2 linked regions of the Oreochromis niloticus genome follow. The protein of the gene in region 2 purifies or fractionates together with the protein of the main gene of each other region. This does not show direct contact. Links are inferred from orthologs where the notes say so. Each region holds a gene or a part of one and is shown on either strand. Other genes may lie near its edges. The genes, in order: mob2a and serine/threonine-protein kinase 38-like.

Region 1 (10,097 bases), on a different chromosome or scaffold from region 2:
AACTGTACCGAGTCACATTTTAATTGCCAATCCTTTTTTCACATTTAAAGTTCCTTCAAGTGCTTGTTTTTTTTTTCATATCTCCTTATCGCCATCTGCTTCCTTCCTCTAGCCAAAACAAACAGAAAATACCCCTCCTTCCCTCTCATGAGGGCACAGACAGATTCATGTGGTCTGTGTGGTTTTGCGCTGTAAGCTACATGTTCTATCACGTGAAAAAGCTTTTCCCGACGAAAGAGCTTCATCTTTGGATACCATAAGCTCTCGCAACTTTTCAAAGGCTTTGCTAAGCCTTTCAGAACAACTGGTCAGGTCCTGTGAAAGGATCCTTTTGAAAACATTGTTTCACTGAGCCATTTCCTGCCTTTCTCTTTGTAATTTCATAATTTTCCCACACAATTGCCTCCTCCAGTTCTTATGAATATTTGAGGATAAGGGGAGGTGATGGTCTGCAGCCATTAGTTTATTTTAGGATAAAGAAAACTTCCTCTTTGCCAGCACTCCTCCCTTCACACAACCTTCTGATTGGTAATGTTCTCCAAGGCAAGTTTTTGCCATAAAAGGCATCAGATGCCTCTTTCTCCTCGCCAGATCAGGGGCAGATCAGGGCAATCCAGAAGTCAGGAGTGTGGAGGAGAAAAGGAACGTGTGCCTGGCACCAGCAGAAACAGGTCTACGTTATGGCCTCATAATAGAGAGATACATGTAAACCTGATTTATTTATGAGTGGATGGTGAGAAGCAGGAAGAAACCTGCTGGTGTTTATCTGCAATGAAAACAAAAAGGAAATAGGGCTGTTACACAGGTTAGGCAAAGTACAGTGCTGCAGAGCTGTGGAGTAACTGACCCGACAGCTGTTCAACTCCATCCGCTATCCACTCTCACCCTTTCACTTTTCCCAGCAATGCCACCTCCCCCACCATCAAGCCATCTTCTCTCACTACCTTTCCTCTTGTACAAACCAAAAGTACAGAGCAAATGCGCTGTGTGTGTTGCGCGCACAGACGGACACATACACACACCCCTAGCAGTAGCCCCACTAACCCAGCTGGTGACAACAGCTGTGTCGTGAGCCTGATCCCACCAGAGAAAAACTAGAAGAAGCAAGTTCTATCTGGTCTGAAAGACTGTTTGTGTAGACACGAGCATCAACCAAGCCAAGCATGCATATACATGACGTGCAAATGTTAACTGCTGATTATTTTCTGACTGTGGGCCAAATCAATCCTGAATACGCTTGGTTCTTACAAAAGGCTCGTCTAACAGAAAGGGGGAACCCTCTTGCAGGTGCGCCAAAAGCAAGTCCATCTCATTACCAGAATCTGGTTCCAATTAATCATGCCATCGGATAGTGCGGTAATGTGGCCCTATCTTGGAGAATTTACTACAGTAGTTTCTCTAACACCATAAATTGGCGACTAAATTGCTTCAGGAGTATTCAGACCATGCCGACTTCTTGTTTCCATAGTTAATCATCTCCATATCACCAAATTATTAAATCACCCCATATCACCAAATCACTGACATTAATGCTTGGAAAAACAAACAAACAAAAAAAAAAAAAACCCCAACATTTTCAGTTTTTACTGGTTTTTCTGTGAGCTGAACACAAACAAAGAAAACCTGTTCAACAAAACCCATGTTCCTCTTGAGCCTCTGGCTCCCAGCAAGCAACATATTACACAACTGTTGCTTGAATTGGCTTTTTCGATAACAGGGGTATCCAACGAATGGCATATGGACGCATTTAATGCAATCTGGTCGGGTGACACTGACAAATTCTTTTTACCATTTTCTTTTAGACAGCTGCTTTCTATATCAAGAGCTTTGATTTGACTAATAAAAAAAAATCAAATGCACTGGCACAATAAACAAAAATGTATAAATATAAAGCAACTCTCTGTTCTCTTCTTAGAACCCCCCCCCCCCCCAAAAAAGCACTGGCATCCACTGAAGGTCATATTGCGAGGAAATAAAACATGCCCAGACCTCAAAAAACACGTGACAGTCTCATTTCTAAGCCTATTATTATGCTAGTCAAGTTTAAAAAAAGGAAGAAAAAAAACCAAACAAGTGTGATAAAACCCGGGATAATACTGAAATTTCATGATAAGACCAGGATGGAGTGAATGAACTCTGCTATTTTGTTAAATAAGCAGCTTTCTCCAAGTCTGCTGATCTATTTCAGGACTTAAATTAAATAGACCCAATGGCACCCTGCCCTGAAAAACCACAAAGAGGGGAAAAAAGCAAGCAGTCTGAGCGCACCAAAGCTCCACCACAGCAGCCATTACAGAGCTTAAAAAAAGAGACTGACTTAAGCATCGACTAAACCTGACGTTCAGCCTTGGTAAGTCAGAAAAGTATTGCCTTATTCAGAGTTAAGTATAGTTTGAATATTTTGCCAATTTTAGTTTTTGGACAAGAAAACAAAAACTACAACAGTGCAGCTGTCACCACTTAATCAACGCCTTTACTGGGGGAGAAAGCAGCCACGCAAATTAGTAAATGAGAACTGGAGCCAGAGTGCAGACCTAAACATATGTAAATGTACACACACACACACACACACACACACACACACTCTCTACTGGCCCTGTCCTAGCTACCTCTTCTTCTACATGTTATCCTATCAAACATCCCAGTTACTGGCTCTCAGTCTAGCACAATATGCAAGAAACCCCTGTGAGCACCACATTCGAGCCTCATCATCATAACAACAAACATGTAACAGGAATAGGGTTTGGGACTTAACCACTTGGGAGTGTAATCTTGAATTGATTTAACACAACAGGAAGCAAAATACTGAAATAAAGCAAATTTCTCTACACCCTGATCGATCTACTTGTAAAAAGACAAGAACAGGTAAGGCAAAATAGCTAAAAGCCATCTTTTGTCTAACCTCTATTCATACCAGCGTCTAAGTCAAGGGCATTGAATCACTGACTGAAGGAGGAAATAGGTTAAAACAAAAGCTATAACAAGCTCTAAGGTGCCACCCACCTTATGTAATCCAAACTATGTGTCTTTGTTAACCCGAACAGGGTAATTTTATTTAGTTTTTACTCAAGATTTCTGGAACCACTCGCCCTCCCCGCAATCACCCCTGAGGCAAATACATTAAGGCTGTAGTTTCTTGGTGATCAGCTAATTTCTTGAGCACAGGGGTTGAATTCGCAAGAAAGAAGGAGCAGAAAAACTTGTTTCTACTTGCCACAGATCTTGCAGAAGACAACATACTGTACAACAACACTTTCTGCTGCTGCTCTTAATATGCAGCCTAGAATATATTAAGCGAACCTACAATAGTGGAGAGTCCCCTCACCATCCCTCTCCACATCTTCATAAAACACCACAGGATGTGAGGCATGTGCCCTTTGGGCTGCTGCTTGAAAAGAAACACACCTGGCCGAAGACTTGAAAAGTAACAGGAACCTTCATCACAGCATTAACATGACTGTCTGTCCCCTGGAGGAACACAGTCATAATGACTGTGGGTCTCTGACACTAAGAGGGGGGACACGAATTTGTTCTGTATAACTGGCGTAGCTCTATCACGTTGTATGACACACAAACACACAGTTAACCCTTATATTGGGGTCAGGCATTCCTCAGGTATTAAGTCTGAGCCTTCATATCATGACCAGTAGATAGCAGTAAAATTCTTTTTTATAAACTAAAAGGCTAATTACACATCACCTTGGCAAATAATTGACCTTTTAATCATTTTTACTTTAAGGGAAAAAAAGGAGGGGGGTAATCATTTTCTGTGACTAACACAATTAACTATGTTAAAATACTACAGGCGTCTTTAATATTTTATTAGACTGGATGAGAAGACAGTGTCACATTTCTCCTGCTCTTGTTGAGTTTTGCTAAGAGCTGCAGCGAAAGGAATTAGTAGTTTTCAGGTGATCCTGATAATTTGCACTGACCCCAGAATCACAGGAGCCTAATACTTGTGTAATTACTGCAGACAAGAGGCAGCAAGTTTATCTTGATTTAACCACAGGCTAGAGACTTTCTAGTTTTAGATACAAAAACAAAACAAATATTTGACTGTTATCGCTGCTGTAATCAGAAGGCGGTGAAATCAACACGCAAAGGCAACGCGGGTTTTTGCGTCTTCGATAAAAGCAGCTTTCCAACACTAAAACAACCTACTGCACGCTTCATTAAAAGCAACAACACAGGGTAGAAACTCAAGTTAATAGCAAATATATTTTAATTCGAAAGTATTGTAAGTTTTACCTTAGTACTTTTCCGACTGCCTGGAGCACCATTTTGCAACTTAGTCCGGTTTTAGAGTTTCTCTGAGGGTGCATGACCTTCTTATCTCCAGAAAAGGAGTAAGAGTCTCTGACCATAGCTTAAAACATGAAGACAGATGTCAGAGTCTCTCCTTAATACTGTTAAGCTGTAGTCTGCCTGTAAAAACACTACGCTGGGACTTATGAGAAGCTGTGACTCACTGTAGGGTAGAGAAAAAAAAACAACTTTGTGAGCACATTTTACAGAAAGGCGCTCCTCCTCTGTCGCCCTCGTCCAATCACAGAGGGGAAGAAAAGTGTAAAGGGGGTGGGGTGTTGTGACGTCAGTGTCTGCCCATGTGGACGTGGTTCAGCCTTTCCCCAGAATTGCAGTTACGATGTAGCAACAGGTGGTCCGCAGGTAAACGACTACAACACAATAAAAAGGTGTCGCTAGACTTTATATACCTGCTCTAATACAACGGATTTACACAAGCATGACCGTTTCTGGGTTTACAACAGTGAAACTGCATATGCATTCTTAAAGTTGTTAACTTTCACAAAATAAGTCGGTGCAAATATAACTAAAACCAATACAGGCATTTTAAATAATGCTCAAACTCATCTGCCGAAAATGAAAATTGTGGATGAAAAGCCTTGCAAGTGTAAGTAAAAATCGTTTATTCCTGTGTTAGAATAATCATTAAAACCTTCCTTCACTTTAATTGTCTTGCATGCTGAGCAACATTCCTTCTGTTCACTCTGAACTTCACTTGAGTTCATTTATGATAGGCTGGCAGCAGTCAGGCGAGTTCAGACATGCTGTAAAAGCTGAAGAACCAGTGAGCCAATCAAACAAAGCCTGCTTAAAAGCCAAAGGCAGATCTGTAAAAAACATCTGGAGGTTTCTTTGCATTTCTCATTTGAGATATTTTTTTTAAAAGCACAGGTATGATATAAATTCTAATTAAATTATCAGTAAAGAGCTGAAGCGACAACACTTAAGTACAAAATGTGCTAGTGTAAATGAACACAGACAAGTGGAAGATGTTCCATTCATGAGAAGATTACAACTAGTGTTACTAAGTTATCATTCCCTCGCTGTTCTTCCCTCTAATTACTGCCTTACAACAGATGAGCCCTCTTATTCTCTCTCTGCGCGTTTCACTGCCTCACTCCTTTACTGTCTGTTTTTCCTCCATCTTCTCAAACAAAACTTAGTGTGCCTGCCTGGCTATAGTATGGATTCATGCATGGACACAAATCTATGGGATTGTGTAGCGCTATGTGCATGCCTTGAGTCGGGGAATGCAGTTTTAAGAGCAAGATGAAGAGACTGTCAGAGTGTGTAAGGAATATGTAGTACTTGTTTATGGTTAACCCTTATATGGATTAAAAAAAAAAAAAAATCTAAGAGACAGCGAGTCAGATAGGCACCTTTCTGCACCCACATCCTGCATACCACATTACGGGTGCACACTGAGTCACTCTGGCTCCGATACCAGCTGTGAGGAGTCTGGGGAAGAGGGGAGAGAGACAGCGAGAGAGAGACCAGAACAGGGCACAGACTCTGTTCTTAAGATGCTAATTATAGTATCAGCCTGCCTCATCATAAAGACTACAGAAACTGATAAAAAAAAGGGGGGGGGGGGGGGGGGGGGGGGGGGTGCCATGGGTGTCTGGCTTAGTGTGTGTGTAAGCAGGAACAAATAAGTGTGCAGCTTAACCAGTCACTGTGTAAGCAAGAGGTAAGAAGGGGATATATAATCAGACGTGGGAGTAGTTTGTTTTGAGGGCTATATATATATATATATATATATATATATATATATATATATATATATATATATATATATATATATATATATATATATATATATATATATATGTCATTATCAAAAGTCTACAGGTCTCAGCAACATAAAAAAAAAAAGTTCTAAATATTCCAAAATGTACAGCAAATTTGCATCAATTCTTGGTCATTTTCTGCTTGTGTTTACTGTCATTTTGGGAAGTTCTTCAAACTGCTAATAGTTTCAATCCTTTTTGGTGTCATTTTAATGATGAAAAATAACATAAAAGGAATTTTATAATAACGCATTACAGGACATCATAAACACTAAAATCACATTTCTATGTGGTCTATCACAGTGTGATATTGCTGTTAAAAGTGTTACATGTAATCACGAGAAAACAGTGTGTCGCTATAATGGAAATCCCATGCTTGAGGAACTTTCCACTAATTTGCTTCTAACTATTGGACCCAAGTGGTTGCTGAAAATAGAAAACATCCATTCAGGATCACTAGCGCTTGGCCTCGACAATCACTTGTGGGAACAAAACGTTTTAGTGAATTGGGCATGAAAATTAGATGAGGCGGCATCTCTTAACCTAAACTAGACCTTTCTTTTACTAAATGAGCAGTAGGTGATCACGACTGCAGTCTGCAGCGCTGTGTGACCATGTGGATTCTGATGATGTACAAGTCAGACCTCTCTTATGCAACGTCTGACGTGAATGGAAACCAACTGCCACATTCCTTTGTCTCTCACACAGAGGTTTACTCTTCCCTCCCTGCTGGCATCACAATCTCCTCCCCCTCAAATACGCAGACAAGGCTACCTGCTTTCAACAAAACAGATATTGCTGTAAATTACTAATAACACAGGAAAGGTTGGATAGAAAAGGCCAAGTCCGGTAATGACCTGCCAGTAATGCAGATACAGGATCAAATTTCCATTCTCTGAACACACATCCATTTGTTTGTGGGTAAGGCGTACTTCTTGAGAAAGTGTAGGAACTTTTTTCCACTATAAAAAAGGTTACAGATGTAAAATCCACAGCAACAACAATTTGTAGATTAGTTTAACAAGCAAAACCACAGAAAGACTGACTTTTATCAGTACCTGGAAGCTGCTTGAAGGATGTTAAACTAATCAAAAATGACCACCCTAATTAAGAGATGCCAAAGGATTGGATTTAATTACAAAACAGGACGCTTGTGAAAAGAAAAGAAAAAAAAAAAAAGAATAAATGGAGGCAATTTATGGAAACACTGACATCACTGATACTGACAGATGAGTAAAGCCCTAATCTGATGTCCGTAAAAAAACCCAAAACAACATTAAGCATGATAATTATAGTCAGAACTGATCAGACCAACAGATAAGACAAGAAAAATAAGCACTGTAAGAAATGTAAGATATTCATTCACCACAGCACTGACGTCATAAGCAAAACAGCGCAAAAGGCGTCGAGTGAATTCAAATTTATGTGTTAAAATCTGCTGAAAGTTTTTATTATCACTAAAATGATAAAGTGGAATAGAAGATTCTGGATAAAACATGTTTGTGAACAGTGATCTCTGGAGCTGGCTCAACAGGTTGAGTCTAAAAGTCAGTGGACAAATTCCACGTATTTAAGACAAAGAAAACACTGATTCCAGGCCAGAGCTACATGAGTCACGACCGTAGCAGATGCGCCTTGGGGCCTGGCAACAGACCAGTCCTGGTCTGGCCACAGTGACTCTCCAGCCAATCATCGCTGGGGACAAAATGACAGACAGGTCAGGCACCCAACCGTGTTAAAACCCAAAATAAATGAATCGGAAACAGAGTAGTTCCAAGTTGCTGTATATGACCTGTTGGTGTTGCATTCTGGGCGTGTGGGAGTGTGCACTGTGTTTAGGTAAGGTCTTAAGCAGTAACAACAGCACAGACCGAAGGTCTTTAGAGCCTGGGGGTTTTCTATAGGCACGGATAAAGGTCAGCAGGGCCAGGGAGACACTTTGGACCATGAACCCAGCGACCTGGCCTGCAGTACATAACTGCAGAAGCAAAATCTGTTTAATAAAAATATAGCATCTGCTACCAGGCCCCCTACCAACCAAAAATAAGAAAAAATCTGATCCAAAAAAAAAAAAAAAAAAAAAAAAAAAAAAAGCAGCAACATCTGTAATTTTCTCCCTTCTGCAAAATTGTGGAGATAAATGGGCACGTATGGTCTGTATGTCTGTGCAAATGCAAAACCTCCACCAAAAAAGGCAGCTTCAATGACTACGATCAGCTAGAAAGTGCTTACACATACTTTGTACAGACAATTTTGGGCTTATAAAGAGTGCAATAAGCAGCTGTGCTTTTAACACCAGTCTCAACTCACTATTCATATGAAGCACATGGCATTAAAACATTCACATTAATTTAGCATGCCCCTTACAGAAGGAAAGACTAACTAGTCTTTGCCCACCATGTTCTCCCTTCAACCTTTATGCCATTGAATCTTTGCACATATGCTTTCTTCTGCCCTTTGCTTCATCTCTTCTTGGCTCTACATTCCTGCAGGGGAAGGGCTACAAGCAAAGACATGTCATTGCTTTCTGCACACACAGCTTTGTTAAACAAAGAGAACAGTTCAGTCTTAAAGTAACTCAAGGAGATCAAGAGCATTACATTCTGGCTCACAATTCACTTGGACATTCTTGTTTGGGAGGTATATGTGAGCACTTCATGAACAAACATAACAGAGTTCCAACTTCATGCTCTATTTAAAAACAGCAATGGCATCAAAGAACTATACCTGTCTGATCAATTGCTGCTGCATCTTTAAGCGAGTTACAAGTCAGCTTACTCTGGAGTTCAGACATTTTGCTGCAAACCTTTGGCACTGAGTTGATTTCAATATGAAAAAGTTTGCAAAGTAGAGACTGTGTGTAATAGACAGGAGGACGTGTTTTTTCTTGTTTAAAGCTAAAGGAAGACAGGACTTTAGCAAGAAGCAGACATGAGATGAGAAATTCCAGACTCGTATCCAAATGCTTATAAATCACCAACACCATGGATGCTGCGTGGATTATGTCAGTGAGAAATGACTGAGAATGAAACTGAGAGAAATGGATGAAATATGGGGGGATAAAAGGACTAGGAAATGAGAATGAGCGAGTAGTTAAGATTAGTGAGAGTGATAAAGTGAGAGGGTTGAGCCGCAGAGAATGACGTAAGGGGAAAAACAGAAGAGAAAAAGTGTGAATAACAGTTAAAAGCAAGGAGAAGAAGCAAAGAGTGAAAGAGTTTAGATCATGTGGGAGGTTGTCACAGCATGCCCTGGCTGCCCGCTGCACTCCTCCTCCCTGCATTCCTTAGGAGAGGAGAGTCTCTATGCATCCTGCACTCACCATTTGGACCAGCCAAACACCTGTCTGTCAAGTGTAACAGTGCACAAAAAAACCCCCAAAACCCAGCCCCCCCCCCCGACACACACACACACACACACACACACACACACACACACACACACCCTCCAAGGGTTAAAATGACATGGCACATTCAATTTTTATTGAAATTTAACAGTCTAAGGTGAAGGAGAGACAGATGACCTGCATTAATCTATAAAATACTACTGAGTGCTTAAAAGGGATTCTCCTCAATCAAGGACAACCAAAAGATGTGGCTAAGTTTTGGAATACTTAGACAAGCTTAAACATTGCAAAAAGTTTGGTATATGCATATGTAACAACTTTGCATTGCTGCAGACACAAAAGCTTTCCTTCACATGTTCCCAGAACCCCATACAGAGTTGAAAAAGACCAGGAAAAACATCTCTTTTCCTGCAATTGTGTGCATCCAGGAATTTGCACAGACTTATCTTAATGATTTCCCAACTGCAGATAAAATTCAGAACATTTTTTAACCAAAGCAAAACATTAGCTGCAGGTTACAGTATAAATGAAAATGTGCACAGACTGAGAGAAGAGGACCACACAGGTATGACTTGGGTGTCAGATCAACATTGCCATCTGCTGGCAATGAACACCTGCATACCATCAAACCAGGAAACAGACAATGGAAAGAA
Region 2 (10,136 bases):
ACTGTGAACATATTATGTAACAAAGGAAGTAAGGAAGAAAGAGGAAGAAGGGGGGACGTGTATATCATCACAACATGTTAGCAGTTCACTATCAGAAAAGGTATGAATGGGCTTGATTAGCTCACAAGGAGATAAAACAGTCCTGCAGGCCAAAGATAGGACCCGTGTTTCGTCTAGTCACCGGTCCTTTTCCCGTTATGGCTCTGCAATCCCACAACAACAAAAAACATTTCCTGACTTCTGAGAAAAATCCTGAATCACTGCTGCAAACTGGGAGGAAAACTGGATCGGTAGCAAACAATGGCTTCTGAGTTAGCGAGGTCTGTCCTGATGTACCTGCACACAGCGCACGCTGGGAGCTCAGCCTACCAATAAAACAGCAACCCTGAGCATGCACACTTACACTTGTGCATTCACATGGGCAAGATGTGACGCAACTTTTTTAAGGTTTCCATCAGCTACGACTGGACCTCTGTGTACTCTACCTGCAAGCACACTTTTCTTCATAAAGAAGTGGATACCACACCACCTCAGCAACTATTAGAAACTACTACTTTAGATGTCACTCACTCTGGGACACAAGTTTATTTCTCTGTGACTGCAGCTAATATTTCAATTGCTGACTAGATTTATGATTTTGACTGATGATTAAGCACCGGCTAATGGCTGGGCCTTGTTTAATAAGACTGGACTTAAAAGAAAGTGCATGAATTATAGACATATACCTCCCTATCCTCACCATTAGACGACTTTATTGACACGATAAGAGCACTCTGGAGAAAAAGGATACCGTATTAGCTAACCCAAAGTGTAGGTTATCACGGAGCCATCGTTTAAATGTATAAATGGGGAGGGGTCACATCCTCTGCATGTAGTCAAAATGTCCATCCAAATATTGTGGAATCAAAAAAAATGTTGCCACGCTACAACTATGCACCACTGCCTTAAATAATCTTCAGATATATAACCATAAATAACAAGTAAACAAATTACCAGCAATATTATGAGCTGGTGTAGTATTGCATGTCTACAGGTGGTTTGTTCAAGTGGTGTTGCATTAACCCAGCAGAAGCTGTTGCTCAATTGCTGTGGGCTTGTATGTATACTACTGTCGTCTACTGTGCAGTCTCTCCATTTCTGACTACTGCCATGCAGACATCTATCCTGAGTCTCCAGTACTCCTGAAGTCTCCCATAAAGTGTTCACAAGATAAATATTTAGGGCTCAATGAAATACAGAGTCATATACAGAGCTTCAATATGCACAGCTAATGGTCACTCTTAACCAGCTAGCTTGGGTCATTCCCATCTCATGTTTCCCTATCTGAGCCGGTCCCCAGACTCTCTCATTCTGCAATCAGACAAACATCAGTGACAGCAGTCCTCGTTCAGCCCGAGAGAACCGATTTGAGCTGGAGCATCACTCTAACCAGAACCAGGAGGAGGCGGAGAGCTGATTAGTTTGACAGCAGACCGAGCTCACCGGTGAGGGAAGAGAGCAGACCGAGGACCGCCGTTTGCTGCGGTTCAAAAAGCGAAGGTGCAGCTTGCCTAGGAGACGCTCAGTTGAAAAGCAGCTGACTATTTCTTTAGTGCTTATTGTCACAAAGTAACAGTATTATTTTATGCATTTTACACAGTTGCATTTGCTTTTGCACACATAAACACTGGCGTGTACGAGGAGCAAGAGTTTCACTGTATGTTCATAATAAATGCCCTGATGGACATTTATTCCTCCCGCTGCCTCAGCAGAGCAGCAAACATCATCAAGGACAGCTCCCACCCTGGTTTCAACATGTTCAGCCTGCTTCCCTCAGGGAAGCGCTACAGGTGCATCAGCACAAAAACCCACAGACTCAAAAACAATTTCTTCCCTAAAACCATAACCACCCTGAACTCACACATGCACCGATAACACAGCCCCCCCCTTGAACACATAAGTTACCATGCAGACTAAGATAAATGGGTTATACAAAAGAGCTTGTTTGCTATCTATCTATAATAAGAATAATTTTGCTTAAAATAAAGATTGTGCATTCTTATTTTATTCTTGGCTAGGAATAACAAGGTGTCATGACTATTGTGCTGGCAGAAAAAGCACCAATATTAGTTAGAGCCTGCATGCTATTGGAATAGAGCTGAACTAATCCAAGATAACATGGTGTTAGGTTTAAATTATCTTGATGACAGTCAAACAGTATATTCAGTTCTTTCATTTAGTTTGATTGAGCTGTTATTTTTTATCCATCTTAGAAGAAGAAATTTTCACAACCTATACTGGATAACCTGGATTATCCACATCGAAAGGAAATGAGTGGAAAGATGTGCTTTTCGTAATATGTGAAAAGAGACTCAGAATTTCCCCTCATGGAGGTTTTTTTTTCCTGGTTTTCCCAACAAGGTGGAAAAAGGGCCATAATTTAAACAGTTACATCATAACTGAGCCAGCCAGGCCTTAGCTCTGCCTAAAGGGGATTCAGTTGGCTTGAAGATAACCAGATCCACCCCACAGCTAAACAAACACGGCTGCGCAACTCAGGCACTTATAAGGAAGGCATTACCAACTCGGGCTTGCTATTTAGAAACTTAAGAATGCAGCCTAAAACAGCCCACCAGAACTGAAATACACCAGTGGCTCCAGTAAAGCATTCAGTCCCAATGAAAGATAAGCGTCCAACCATAGGAACATTATTTTTAGCCAGTTCTAATGAGGATTTCCCGTCTATCAAGCAGCTGTAATTATCAGAAAATAATGGAGATTTCTTTCAAACAAGCTAACACAGACTCATTTCCTTTACTCTTCACAGGCTGTTCTCAGGTCACCAGCAATGGCAACATCTATTCATTTTACACAAATCAAGTAATACATAATATATACATAGCTTCTTACACTTAAAATAAAGTGTTGCTGGTAGCTGCCAGATTGTTTGACTACACTTTCAAGTACTAAACACCTCCAACAGAACAACATGAATGATTTTTAGCTAGTAAGAAATTATTTCCTAATGGAATTCTGAGATCTGTGGATCAGCTTGAGATTATCTGCATGAGAAGAAGCCAATGTCATACAAGCAGGCAAGCTATAACCCAGATGAACCACTGAACTTTAAAATCCAGCCTGCTGCAGGTGTTTCTGGAGAAATACTTTACTTTGAATAGAAAGAAGAATCAGGACAGATGTAGCTCAGTGTAACCGTTAACCACCAATTTCTCAGTTTTGTGTGAAAAATTCTTCAGTTTCACACACTCCACCCTTAAAGCACTCGGAGTGAGTGGACAGGAAACCCTTTCCCTCCCGAATGAAAGAACTCAGTCATGAATCAACACACAAATGTGCGCTTACGCACAGAGAAACTGTGAAAGCATATGTTCCCCTGAACAGTATGTTTATTTTAAGCTAAACAGCCAAGTGTGTGTTTAAAAACTCACAAAATGCTTCCCGGCAAGAGGAACTTGAAGTGTATTAACAACTTAACAAAAGGACATTTATCTCAAATACATTCTGAAATCCAATCCATCAGAGAGAGCAGTCAGTTCATATTAGAAGTGAACAAAATGTATGGCAAAAATGGCAATTTTTAAAAAGCTTTTCACCCTTTACATGTGGCGATTAACCAGTTACCGGTATGTACACATGCACATGTTTGCCTTAGCTAATGTTTCCCGGCTCACCTACACTGACGCCACCCTGTCGGACCTCTCCTACCATAGGTCCGCCACTGCTGCATGCCTCACACTAGGGAGAATATTCACTGCTTCTTTCTTGTATTTAGCTTGTTTGACGCTATGCTGTCCGAGCTAGCTATTTGCTACATTCCCTTTGCGTGTCTGTGTGGCAGGTTCAACTATATTAATAAATTCAATTCGGACAGCATAAAAAATGGACAGCATTTTTTTTTTTTTAAATAAATCTTTTTCACTTACCTCCGTGTCCTGCTCCAGAGTCAATTATTGGCGTGCCGCCAGGCCACGACCCAAATGAAGAAATTAAATGTCTTATATCGTTTCTGCCTAATTTTTTAGGCAGTTGGAAGCTAGAGGCTCTGGTTATAGGCTACCCCTTAAAGAAACCTATGAGGCTCCACAGTAAACATCGCCGCTATTAACCTCAAATCATAACAAAAGACCTCTGACGGTGAAAATACCCCACGCCAAAATAATTTGAAAATATTTTACCGTCTGTACATGTGGCAACCGACCCCCCCAAAAATACACTGTTCCCCTCGGACCTTTATCGCTACAAAATATGAAATAAGCTCCGCTGCTTCCTGAGACCGTCGGGCTCATCAGACGTTCCGACAACGCAACGGCGTAGCGCCTGAATGACGCTAACGCCGACCAATCAGCGATGACTAAAAGAATCCGTGTTTCCTTCTGCCCAATAAAACGTGGCCTCTACATAAGAGTGATAGATTGGCCAATAGCATCCAAGCCGCCCTGCAAGAGTTGGGGACGGGTCCAGTTAGCAAGCGTTTGCAGCTATGAAAGAATATACAGTAGCTCCAGCGGTTGGAGGCTTTGTTACATAATTTTATTGGTTGTGCTTAGCGCAAATCCTTACTAAAAATAGCTGGTATTATTCTAATAATTTGTAAGGATTAAATGGTACTTTACCGTAAAATGTTCTTCACACATAATTAGGAAATAGCGTATGAATGAGAGGGTATGTAAGGCCAATAAAAGGTCACATTGGTGATCAATACACAATCATCAGGTTTCTAATTGTTGACTAAATGAAAAAGCTGCAGGATTTAGTCATACTGAAATCTTACTGCTATTCAAAATTTAAGTAGAACTGATCTAAACCACACGGATATTTTATTGGACTACGTTTATCTAGTGGCAATAAAGCAGATAGAACGTAATAAAGTATGATAAGATAAAAGTCACACACAGTCCACATTTATAACACTTTCTATTAAGGCACAATCTGAGACCTTTGCCATAGCAGTTTGAGATGATAACAGCGTGTCTGCCTCCAAACCGTTTAAAAAGTGGTCATTGTTTAAACTAGAAACCGAAATGAATGTGTCCACATTCCAACATTGTTACAGTAGAGCCCTTCAAAAGGGAACTGACTTGTTTCCTTAATAATCCCATCAGTGGTGCTTAGAAATGTCTTCACCCTATCTGGACTCTTTCATTTCCTTGTACGTTGTGTATCCCAAAGGTCTATAGGACAAAGAACATTAAAGGGAGAAGCTACACTAATCACATGTGAATGAAAACGCAGATAACAAAATTGGAGCACAGACAAAGTTTTGTTGACCAAACCACGGCGGCTCACAGTGAAAGGTGAAGATTTGCTGTCATAAATCTCCTCATTTGGGCGGGTTAAGTGCTTTTACTGTTAGGACCATGATGTCAACATGCAGACAGGCGGGTGGGTCCCGCTAACACGTCTGGGTGTGGTGGCCAGCAGACAAGGCTGTTTTTATATTTCTCACATCAATGGAGCCCACTGAGCTGTGACACAGCACCTATATTTAGATTTGGGCTATAAACTCTCTGGCCTGCAGCCTAGGTTTCACAAAGTTCAGTCTGAAATGGATTCAGCCAATATGAAAGCATTTGTTTTGCAAAAATCAAGATTGTACGGCATGACTTGTGAAAATATTTTAGTTGCAAATATGACAAAAGTCATTTTTGCTCTTTAGATTTTTTTTTATATCATGTATCAGACTGACTAGGAGTTAGAACAGAACACATGCATATACATAACTTTCCGTAATGTGAAATTTTCATGCCTTTTACTGAAACGTTTCAAACCGTCGATAGAACCAGATTATTGAGTTGTTTTTTTTCCCCTCCTTTTAAAGTCTTTTTCTTTCACTATTGTTTTTGTCAAAACACATTATGAAATATACAAGAGCCACAGCTTAGTTCCTCAAAGCTGTGTCCATCAGAATTTCCTTTAAAGGTCACATGAACTGAAATGTGGTCATTCTTTAATTGTAATCGTTTCCTGGTAAAGGCTCGCAGTACGTCAAGTCAGTTTCTGCTAGCGTATCAGTTCAAATGAAAAAAAACGAAACTGATGCAATGCCACGAACAAACTCCAACAATTAACATCACCCACATGGTTAATGTACAAATGCTTGTGGTAACAGTTTGCAAATTATATAAAAAAGGGACGTTATTAACACTTATGTGGCTGTCCACGGTTTATTTAAAGAAAATACTTCAGAGAGATGAGCTATGATGGTTTAATTGAATATCTACAAAATCAGACATAAATATATAACATATAGTGTACATAAATCACAGAACACCTGGCAGATTGGTCTCCTCAGACCCACGGAGAAGTTTTTTTTTGTTTTCATTTTTTAAAAATAAAAATTTCAGGAAAAAGAGGATCCGTGTGCATGTAAAGACACCATCTTTCATCCTTCTTTAGCTGAGCTGCAGAAATGACGTTTCAAAAACAAACAAAAAACATAAAGATGACCTCATCCACACAGAACCGCTTCAGCATCTACATTTTCACACATTTGACATGTGAACACACACCACATTTGGCAGGCCTATTGTGGCTGAAGGCAAAGAAAAAAAAAATAGCTGAAAAGACTGAAAATTGTCCAGAATCATATTATGCATTCCTCGGGTCAGGATTCAGCCGGTGACGGCTGGCTAGGTGCCCCGTTGCGGGTGCGGAGCTGGGATTGGGCGATGTCAGCCAGTGCACTCTGGATCTTCTCCAGCAGCATATCGCCGCGGTAAACCACCTCTTCCAGCCGAGCTGCTGCCTCATGGTTCTCCTCCTCCAGCTGCCGCAGACTGGCTGCCTGATGAGAGGTCACAGACTGTCAGATTTAATGAAAACAGCTTAAGTGTTTTTATTTGCCCTTTTGTGAAGCGTCAAATAACTGAGTGAACAACTGAGTGAAGGTTTCCTTTAATTGTGTGCAGATCATGACTGTATAACTTGGGAGCATCAGATCTCACAGTAACTGACAGAATAATAAAAGAATTCCCACCTGGTACACCCAATATCCCCACACAACGCAGGTGGTGTGTGTGAGCAACTTTTAAATAGTTGATGAGAATCACTTTGTACAAGTTCTGTTTCACGGTTCAAAAGCTGCCATCAGACTGTGACGAGATTTCATGCATGATTCACAATGTGTGCAGAAAGTCTCCTGAGACGTGGTCTTACAGCTGATCGTTTCTAACAGCTTTGTATGACAGATGTCTTTTTACTTTACATCCAAAACCAGTTGCGTGTATTGTTGGCCCTCAGAGAGCTACAGGGAAACCAGAACTTCTGGGCTGTGGAAGCCTCATTCACAAAATTCCACTGACATCTGACAGCACTAAGATCTAAAAAATGCTGCCCTGTGGCCCGCATGAAAATAGAAGTATCCTTGCAAAAAGACCCAACACCACTGATTATGCAATATTGCTCGGGTGTTTCTCAGAAAGACTGACGACTACTGCTCCGAGTTATAAAAAGCTAGAAATGACATGGCTTACTTTCTTATAACATTACCTAGAAATAAATATCATACTTGTTTGAGAAAGAGTAGCACCTACTCGGGTCAGAAAAAGCATGTGGAGCTTGTAATTACATTAAGCATAATTGGTGTTTATTGTTTCTCTCTTGAGTGAAGGCCATAAAGTATTAAAAGTGTTTTTGCATTTTGTCTACTGATAAAAGTCTCTGGAAACAGATCAAAAAGTTAGCAAGTTTTCCGAGTACCATTACTAATGTAATGGTACTCACTGGCATTTGGCATTTGTGAGTAATGGTACTCACTGGCAGTACTGTGTATTGCACTCAGATATGCTTGCTGGGAAACATTCTATTCTCAGTTTTCTGTTCTTTAATCTATTCTAGCCTAATCTAATAGTAGAAAGCAGTGCACAGGAAAGTGACATTTGATGTCATGTATCTTTCTATTTACAGGAGAGAGATCAACACAAGAATGATTGTTGTTGTCTTTAACATATTTCACTATAGACTATAAACAGTTTGCTTACACACAAAACACACTGCCCCATCAAACAGAGAATATGGAATGTTATTCTAAAGAGTGTCTGTGCGTGCTAATGTGACAAAAATACTAACATCAAAGCAGGATTAGTAAATTTCTCCTGCTCTTTTATTTGTTTTTTTTACATTAATGGGGAAAAAAATCTCTGCAGAGACTTGTGAAGTTGGCATGAAAGCAACAGTATGAACTTTTAACTGGTTCCCTCTGCTGACTGATAGCTAGAAATACTCACGGGAAAATAGAATTAATACATTGAAATATATATACACACATGTGAAATAGTCAGTGGTACTTATGAATGTGCTGACCTGCAGAGCTGCTGTGGACTCCTCGCTGGGCAGAGAGTCTATGAGTACATCCACATCTTTGGCTGTTCGGGCTATAAGGGCTGCAAACAGCTGGGCATACTCTAAACAGAGATCAAGAAAAACAAAATACAGGTGAATCATCATGCAAATCATTAATATATATAACAGAACATAAACACACACTCCACATGCTTTTGAGCTACAGAAAGTAGCCCCCTCCCTTTTTTTATAAGAGAAAAATCATTATGTACCATAGTATTTAGAGTGAAAAGATAAAATGTCACTAAATATTGAGTAAAATGTAAAGAAGTGGTGAAACTAAATCATTTAAGTTGTAGAGAGACATTCATCATGAATGATATGCAGGTGTAGTGATGGAGACCCGGTGTTGTATGATCAGGGATGACTACTGTACAAAGCACTGTGTGGACGTCTTCATTCCTGTTTCAGACAAATTTTTTGAAGCTAACAAGCTGTTCCACATTATGTAAGCCAGTCTGTACTGCATTTATGTCAGTTTGCATAAGATTTTGTCCATGTAGCCTGATAACTTTGGGTATGCAACCTCTACAGACATGCTTGTGTGCAGTGCTCCAAGAGATCAACAGCACATGTAGCACTGGCTGACAGTGATAATACTAGAAACTAATTTGCTGAAAAGTTCACTTTAACAGGAAAGGGAGTAACAGAGGAGTTCACCACAAAGAGGAAACAGTGGCAAAAAATAATCAACAATAAAAAAACCAGCATGAGAAACACAGACAGTGGATACGTAGAAAATTTTCAATACCGTGTTCCATTTCACTGCAAAGAAGTTATTTTTATATTACGACATATCTTTTCTGTATCAGGGTCGAAGTTAAAGGAGAAACTGAACAAATGCAAACAAGTCTAGCTCTCAGACTGTTCCACATAATTGTTATACTGCCCTCTGGTGACAGCACACAGCTATGACATGTACCAACACACAGCTATACTAGGCTGGGAATCACCAGACACCATTTGATACCACAATTTTACAATATATTACTGTCATTTTCAACATTATGGGATATGCTAAATATTGCAATAACATATAGTACAATTTATGTCCTCAAAGTTAAACTTTATCAGTATCTGTTTTATCCAATGAGATGACGTAATCTCACTGCAAAATGAGATTGTCAAGCATCCCCCATCACTGTTATTAAAAACTGCCATAAATGTTACTATAAGATGGAGTCATTATGACTGATATCAGTCTGAGGTTCGATGGCTCAAGTTGGCAATTACATGCAATCTGTTTCTGATAATGTTGAGCTGGTTACTGTGTTTGTTGGATTCCAAACATAATGAAGTTGCACAGTGACCTCTGGTGGAGAAGTTATGCAACGTCACCATCTTTGATGAGTGTTTCTCTCATCTCCTCTTGAACTTTAATTTTTTTTTATATTTATCCATCCATCTTCATCCGCTTTATCCGAGGCCGGGTCGCGGGGGCAGCAGCCTAAGCAGAGAAGCCCAGACCTCCCTCTCCCCAGCCACCTCCTCCAGCTTATCCGGGGGAATACCAAGGCGTTCCCAGGCCAGCCGAGAGATATAATCTCTCCAGCGTGTCCTGGGTCTGCCCCGGGGCCTCCTCCCGGTGGGACATGCCCGGAACACCTCACCCAGGAGGCGCCCAGGAGGCATCCTTGTCAGATGCCCGAACCACCTCAACTGGCTCCTTTCGATGTGGAGGAGCAGCGGCTCTACTCTGAGCCCCTCCCGGATGGCCGAACTTCTCACCCTATCTCTAAGGGAGAGGCCAGCCACCCTTCGGAGGAAGCTCATTTCTGCCGCTTGTATCCGCGATC

What was found.
Region 1: the proteins of serine/threonine-protein kinase 38-like (region 2) and mob2a purify together in Homo sapiens (affinity purification with mass spectrometry; 9 studies listed by BioGRID and IntAct, counting the BioPlex papers as one, with this or other methods). This does not show direct contact. The link is inferred for Oreochromis niloticus from reciprocal best matches to the Homo sapiens genes STK38L and MOB2.

What each region holds. Positions count from the first base shown.
Region 1 is NC_031972.2:60,146,347-60,156,443, reverse strand, and holds the start of mob2a (MOB kinase activator 2a), read right to left. Parts: upstream 4,492-10,097; 5' UTR 4,368-4,491; coding exon 4,252-4,367; intron 1-4,251. UniProt on the Homo sapiens protein: Stimulates the autophosphorylation and kinase activity of STK38 and STK38L.
Region 2 is NC_031981.2:34,725,039-34,735,174, reverse strand, and holds the start of serine/threonine-protein kinase 38-like, read right to left. Parts: upstream 4,331-10,136; 5' UTR 3,924-4,330; intron 1-3,923. Other genes in the region: med21 (mediator of RNA polymerase II transcription subunit 21), read right to left, coding at 6,605-6,802, 8,302-8,402. UniProt on the Homo sapiens protein: Involved in the regulation of structural processes in differentiating and mature neuronal cells.